Danio rerio: one gene and its partner. The protein of the gene in region 2 interacts with the protein of the main gene of each other region in a biochemical or structural test. Links are inferred from orthologs where the notes say so. Each region holds a gene or a part of one and is shown on either strand. Other genes may lie near its edges.

The links. The genes of interacting proteins can lie anywhere in the genome.
Region 1: the proteins of hip1rb (region 2) and cltb form a complex in vitro, tested with the Homo sapiens proteins (2 studies listed by BioGRID). The link is inferred for Danio rerio from reciprocal best matches to the Homo sapiens genes HIP1R and CLTB.

The regions. Positions count from the first base shown.
Region 1 is NC_133189.1:56,170,662-56,175,030, forward strand, and holds the start of cltb (clathrin light chain B), read right to left. Parts: upstream 2,854-4,369; 5' UTR 2,632-2,853; coding exon 2,451-2,631; intron 1-2,450. UniProt on the Homo sapiens protein: Clathrin is the major protein of the polyhedral coat of coated pits and vesicles.
Region 2 is NC_133180.1:72,287,792-72,291,450, reverse strand, and holds part of hip1rb (huntingtin interacting protein 1 related b), read left to right. Parts: intron 1-471; coding exon 472-558; intron 559-653; coding exon 654-761; intron 762-1,542; coding exon 1,543-1,679; intron 1,680-1,768; coding exon 1,769-1,879; intron 1,880-3,484; coding exon 3,485-3,543; intron 3,544-3,659. UniProt on the Homo sapiens protein: Component of clathrin-coated pits and vesicles, that may link the endocytic machinery to the actin cytoskeleton. Binds 3-phosphoinositides (via ENTH domain).

The DNA of each region.
Region 1 (4,369 bases), on a different chromosome or scaffold from region 2:
AGGATTTATGTAAAATTGCAGTTTGTAATGTAATATTTTTTGTCTTCTAGTCAATTTTCATTCATTCATTCATTTTCTTTCTGGCTTACTCCCTTTATTAATCAGGGGTCGCCACAGCGGAATGAACCGCCAACTTATCCAGCATATGTTTTATGCAGTGGATGCCCTTCCAGCTGCATCCCATCACTGGAAAACATCCACACACACTCAATCACATACATACACTACGGACAATTTAGTTTATCCAATGCACCTATAGTGTGTTTGGACTGTGGGGGAAACCGGAGCACCCGGAGGAAACCCACGGCAACACTGGGAGAACATGCAAACTGACCCAAAATGTCAACTGACCCAGCCGAGGCTCGAACCAGCGACCTTCTTGCTGTGAGGCGATCATGCTACCCACAGCACCACCATGCAGCCCTCTAGTCAATATATATGTATATATGAAATACTTGCTTTGTTTACAAGACAAGTGGATCTAAGTGGATTTGCATTAAAAAAGTTTTAAATGTTTATTTTTTTTTACTTGCATGTTTTAAGTGTTTAGTTAAAGCATAAATCTGCACTTTATTTATTTAGTTATTTATTTTTTACAAATTCTGTTATTTAGTGTTTTGAAGATATTAGGTTTGATTTTGTTTTTGCTATTTTAAGTTTTGTGTTATTTATTTTGCTCCTTTATTTTTATGCAAGTACAAATGTCATTTTTTGCAATTTTCTATATTTAGCAATGCGACTCTTATTTAGAAGAGGATGAGTGATAATATTTAATTTCATTAATTTTTTTTATTTTATTAGGGCTGCTAACTTTTTTAGAGTTTATTTATTTTCTTTATTTATTTTAAATTAAATGTTTCCTTTTTTCTGAAAAAAAGTTTTAATGGTGACGCAGTGGCGCAGTAGGTAGTGCTGTCGCCTCACAGCGAGAAGTTCGCTGGTTCGAGCCTCGGCTGGGTCAGTTGGCGTTTCTGTGACAAAATAAAGGTACTGAAAGTACTGCTGTAAGTTACTAGTACTATGGGAAAGTGGCTGTATACAGTAGTGATATCATAGATTTTTAATATAATATAATATACTTTTTAGATAAAATACCATAGGAAAAAGTTATTTTAACCAAAAATACTGTATCGATTCTTTTTACTAATCATTGTCAATACCATGAACACTAAGAAGTGATTTGAACTTCATTTATTACACATTCATGCACCTGGTACATAACAGTACTGCTACATATACGGAACAGACACTGTATTATACCTTATAATATGCACTAATTAGAGCTGTAAACGAGTGAAACTGAAAGTACTGTTGTTCTAGTACTATGGTAAAGTGGCGGTATCTGGTGGTGATACCATAGTATTTCAATATAATAGAATAGAATATTCATTAAAAAAATCCTTTCAATGAAGTATCTATATTTTTTGCAAGGAATTGTCAAATACCATGATATACACATTTTAGTAAGTGATTTTTACTCATTTATTACACATTAATGTACCTGGTTCTTCAAAAAAAAAAAAACATGGTACATTACACTACTGCTACTTGTACGAAAGCACACTGTTATACTTTTTGTGTGCATTTAAGTACTCAGTAATAACAATGGTGATTCATATTATCAGTTACACATAATTTGTGAGATTAATATTAAACAAGGACACAAAATAAAGTTACTGAAAGTAAGTACTGCAGTTACTAGTACTATGGTAAAGTTGCAATAATCAGTGGTAATACCATAGTATTATAATAGAATATATTATAATATAATATACTTATTCTAAAAATACCATGGAAAAATAATTTATTATAAACAAAAACACTATTCTTTTTACAATACCATGGTAACTAACATTATAAGAAGTGATTTATACTCATTATTACTCATTTATGTATTTGGTTCTGCAAAAATACCATGGTATGTTACAGTAACGTTACCGCTACTTTATCGCAAGTAGCCTAATCTGTGTTATAGTTTTTGTGTGCATTTAAGTACCGAGTAATAACGATGATGATTTATATTATTAGTTGTGCATAATTTGTAATATTTATATTAAACAAAGTCACAAAATAGTTACTGAAAGTACTGCTGTAAGTTACTAGTACTATGGTAAAGTGGCAGTATTCAGTGGTGATACCATAGTATTTCAATATAATATAAAATAATATAATATAATATATACTTTTTGAAAATATACCATGGGAAAAAGTTATTTAAAACTAAAATACTGTGTTTTTTTACAATACTATGGTAACTCACATTTTAAGAAGTGATTGATACTCATTTATTACACATTTACGTACCTGGTTCTCCAAAAATACCATGGTACATTACACTACTGCTACTTATACATAACAGGCACTCTGTACTATACTTTATACACAATATAAAGCGGTAATACGTGAGCACGGGTGTGTGTTTGCGGCCGCCGGGACTCGCGCTGGCTCACCGCCGGACATGGTGTAGGTGTCTGCGGGCGCCGCTCCTCCGTCCTCCGGTAAACTGAACCCAGTGCTGTCGTTCTCAATCACCGCGATTTCATTCTCCTGCTGGGCCAGAAAGGCGGCGGCGGGATCTTCTTCTGTATGAACTCCGTTGTCGAAGGCGGAAAAACCGAAGTCGTCAGCCATGTTTGATAAAGTAACACCGGCTTCCGTAAAAAAGCTACGCTAAAACACTCCAGCTGTTTTCTTCTTCAGCCAGTTCACAAGTCGATTAGCTGATAAAGGGTGAACTTAGACTGGTCTGAACGTTGTAGACTTATTTAAAGTATTTATTTCACTTTTTTACTGACAGCGGTTGAATGACGCACAGCTCAAACGTTAGTAGGGAGTGCTAGAACAAAAATCTGTAATATCAATATTGAGCGCATAGTTAGGTGATGATTTGTGGCGTTTTGTCCCCATCTGCCGGACAGAGTGTGTAGTGCAGCAGAGTTGGATTTAAAGGGACAGTTCACACAAAATTAACTTTTATTCTGTTGCGCATAAAGCAAGATATTCTGAAGAGTGTTGAAAAGCAATCTGTACTTATCTTTTTAATCAAACTTTCACATATTTTCCCATGTGCTTTTAATTTCAAATAATTTATTAAGGGTGACATGGTGGTTTAGTGGTTAGCACTGTGGCTTCATAGGAAGAAGGTCGCTGGTTTGAGTCCTGGCTGGGCCAGTTGGCATTTCTGTGTGGAGTTTGCATGTTCTCCACATGTTGCCTTAGGTCTCCTCTGAGTGCTCCAGCTTCCCCCACAGTCTAAACACATGCACTATTGGGGAATTGATTAACTAAACTGGCCGTATAGTGTATGAGTGTGTGTGTGAATGAGTGTGTATGGGTGTTTTTCCAGTAATGGGTTGCAGCTGGAAGGGCATTCTCTGCATAATAAGCATATGCTGGATACGTTGGCGGTTCATTCCGCTGTGGCGACCCCTAATAAATTAAGGGACCGAAGGAAAATGAATGCATAAGGATTTTTACTTATTAATTGTTTTGCTTTGCTTAATCTGTATTATTAATGTTTTTCATGACTCTTTTTTAACTCTGTATAGCACTTAAGCCAACTGAAGTTGAATTTAAATGTGCTATATAAATAAGGTCAAATTTGCATTCAGCGTCTGGTGTGAACACAGCATAACAGGTAATAATCTTCGAAGCAATATCGTGCATATTAAGGAAGTTGCACCCAGTGGTGGAAAGAGTATGTAAAAAGCATACTTAACTAATACTTAAGTAAAAAAAAAGCATACTTAAGTAAAAGTACCATTACTTGCCTAAAAATGTAGTGTGAGTAGAGTAAAAGTACCTGTCGTAAATATTACTCAAAGTAGGAGTAAACAGTAGCCCTTTTAAAAGTGAGTATTACGCTGTTAAAAGTTGATGCATTTACATGTAATTCGTGGATGTGTGTAAACGTAACATTCTGTAGTGCATATATTTATTGCCCAGCAGGCACACAACGTTATAAGACGTTAATAGGTTTGATTTAGGTTGTAATGTCAGGTGACCAAAATTCTATGTCTAGCCAGCGTCTAAGGACATTATTTTCATGTCCAATAATGACATCAAATGACGTTGATATTTGGTTGATTTTAGGTTGTTAGAAAGTGACCAAAATCCAATGTAGAGCCGACATCTTAAATCAACATCCTATTGACGTCAAATACTGACATTTATTCATCAGTTATGGCAACCAAAATTCAACGTCTGATAGACGTCATAGTGGTAACGTCGACACAACGTCAAGCTGTAACATCATTAGACGTTGATATTTGGTTGGTTTGAGGTTGGACGTTGGACATTGACATCAGGCTGATGTTGAGTTCTGATGTAAACCCGATTTTCATTTCCAAACAAAATGCAGCGTCTCCAC
Region 2 (3,659 bases):
CCAATTCAGTTCCTCAAAAAACAATGTGCCAACAATGCACCTTAACACACCTCCTTTTCAGACCGGCACACCCATTAGCCCACAAAGTGGCACGAATGGATTTGCTATTTAAACAATGTGGTCGAAAACATGAAAATTAGAGTTGCACTGATCTGAAAATAGCAACAGATCGCACCAAATACGTCTTGCACCTTATTGCACCGGGTGTATTATAAGACCCATAGTGTGGAACAATGGAATTTAGTACAGAGTTTGTTGTCAGGTAGGAACCCCACTTCATGTCGTACATCAATCAGGCAGTGAAGATCATTGAATTTTAAACAAACCAGTTCTTCTTTCTTTCATGACAGTTCACCGGAAGCGATTGAGCAGGCATATTCAAAATGAATAGTCCTCTTACATATACCTCATTATAACATTTAAACCATTTACATCTGTCTGATTATAGTACAACATCTTGTCTGTCATTAGATTACCTCATCAGCCGGGCTGAGGCCACGCTGGGCTCTGTAGAGAAGGTGCAGGCAGGCCACTCTGAGTATGTGAAGAGTATGAAAGGTATGTTCTGTCTCTTTTTCGCTTGATGATGTTTCCATATAATTTTTAATGCTTGTACTTTATCTCATTTCATGATTAACTTGTTTTTGATTCAGATGCTGGGGGTCTGGTTAGGGCTCTTACTATGTTTTCTCATCTTGCTGCTGACACAATAATCAACGGAAGTGCGACGGCACACATGGCCCCTACTGACCATGCTGATCGTAAGAGCACACACCTTGTGAAAAACACTATTATATTATATTATATTATATTATATTATATTATATTATATTATATTATATTATATTATATTATATTATATTATATTATATTATATTATATTATATTATATTATATTATTTTGAATTATATTATTTTGAATTATATTATATTATATTATTTTATTTTATCTTATATTATTTTATCTTATATTACATTATATTTTATCATATTATATTTTATTATGTTATATTATTTTATTTTATATTATATTATTTTATCTTGAATTATTTTATATTATATTATATTATTTTATTTTATCTTATATTACATTATATTTTATTATGTTATATTATTTAATTTTATATTATATTACATTACTTAATATTATATTATATTATTTAATATTGTATTATATTATATTATTTGATATTGTATTATATTATATTATTTTATCTTATATTATATTTTATTATATTATATTTTATTATGTTATATTATTTAATTTTAGATTATATTACATTACTTAATATTATATTATATTATTTGATATTACATTATATTATATTATTTGATATTATTTGATATTATTTGATATTATATTATATTATATTATATTATATTATATTATATTATATTATATTATATTATATTATATTATATTATATATGCCAGTGTGTAGGGGTGCAATGAATCACAGTTGACCCATGTGGAACTAATAACACATATTTAAAACATCTAGATGAATCCTAAATTTAGTTTGAAACGCATGTCTGTCTACAGGTTTGACTGAGCAGTGTAAGAGTTGCGCCACCCAGAGTCTGCAGTATCTTAAGAGTCTTAAATCCAAAGCATCTCTAAGGGGGGCTGATCCCACCGCCATCCAAGCAGCGGTGCAGAAGATTCTTAGAATAGGAAAGGTAAGACACAAATAGTTTGGGTTATTTAAATGCTAATAATGCAATCATTCATTTACTCAAGGCTATTGCTGCTTGTATTTTACTTCCAGGATCTAAGGCCAAAAGGTTTAGATGTCGGCAAGGATGAGCTGGGAGATATGGTGGATAAAGAAATGGCTGCTACCTCTGCTGCTATTGAGGAGGCTGTTAGGAGAATAGATGTGAGTAGAAAAGTATTTATCACAGAAAATCTGTGCCTTCTAATGTTCCACTTGTTTCAAACCAGAGTTACTTTCTTTTTAACACATATATAATATATGAACAATATCACATGAGTAGCAGTATGCTATGGCTGTATATTGGCACTGGCGGGAGGCGTGCGTTGGTTTGAGGACACAGGCCGAGTGCCTTAGTGTCCCACAAGTGAGGTGGAACAGCCATATCACACTGCTACATGTGTGATATTGCATTTATAAAACAGTTCGACAGCAAAAGCGTGTATAAGAGTAGTCTTTTTGAAGAGTAGAAACTTTTCTCTCTGTTTAAAAGAAACAGTCTTTTTGTAAGAGGAACTACTTTCTTCCGCCATTCATTCACATCTGCAGCTGACATCAGAACAGCAGAAACTGTTTCTAATTCACCATCGTGACTTTAGAGCTAGTATTGATGAATGATTCTCTAGCGTAATGTCTAAAGTGATGACAAAACAGGTGATTTTGCTGACTTTTTAAGAGTATAAGACTGAACTGCATGAAATGCCATCAATCTACAGAGATATCCCAGTGTTTCTCTGTTGTGATCAGGAGTATCACAATAACTGACCCCAAAAAAGCCAAAGCAATGCAAACACTAGCAGATTACTGTTGTGTTCGCGATAAGGAAAAACACTAAACACATGCGGGCATTTCTTCCTTCTTTCTGTTTACTAAGAGACTCATTAGAAACAAACAGATGGCCAACCAAAAAGGTTATACAAAAAGTGTGCAACATAATACCCGAGTCCCATCTCACACTCAATACACTACAATTACTATGGTATAAAAACAGCCCTACAACATACAAAAGAGAGAGATCGACTTAGAATCTCTGTCACCCACCAATTTAATAATGTTTTGATCAGCTGTAGTTTGAAAATATGCAGATCTTTTCTCCTCTAGAGGCTTATTATGCGGCTGCCATCTTGTGGATGGACAACATCAACCGCCTTGCTCAATGACAGGCTGCCAATGCGGTGTATCTCGGAAATGATAAATATTTAAAATAGGCATTATTCTTATAAATAAACTGCATAGTTGCAATCTAAACAACCACATTCTCGACTTTAAAAAGTCTCAAAAGCACATTATGTTGTCCAACTGCAGCAATATTTGTCAAACTGTAGTGAGTTTATGGATCTGCTGTCACTATGTGGGCGGAGTAATACAGAAGGAGGAGGAGGCTATTTATATATTTAGATATACAGTACATGTAAATATGCAATTTACTAGTTAAAATGGGCTGGAAAATTCACCTGGAATGTGCTTGAAAGCTTGAAAGTTTCTTAAATTTGGCTTTGGAAAAGGTGTAAGAACCCTGAATATAATATAATAATTCTATATTATAATAATACTGTGTAATACTATATAATTTTGTAATAAATGTCGAAAATAAATGATCTATGAAAGTCTTTAACGGATTAATAACTGATGAACAAGCATTTCTGTTCACTTATTGTTTAGTTTTAAGGCTGTTTTAATTAAGCTTAATACATGGTTTTTGAAACATCCATATTTATTATATATATCTTGTATTGTTTTGATCTCAATTTTAATTGTTTGGCTCTATAGGAAATGATGAGTCAGACCAGAAAAGACGCAACTGGAGTTCAGCTGGAGGTGAATGAAAGGTTGGTGTTGTTGTTGTTGTTTTTTATTATTATTATTGTTAATTTTTTAATTGTTAAATGCAAATGTCACTCTTTTAATATCTGAATATAATAAATGAGTAATTAATTATTAATGT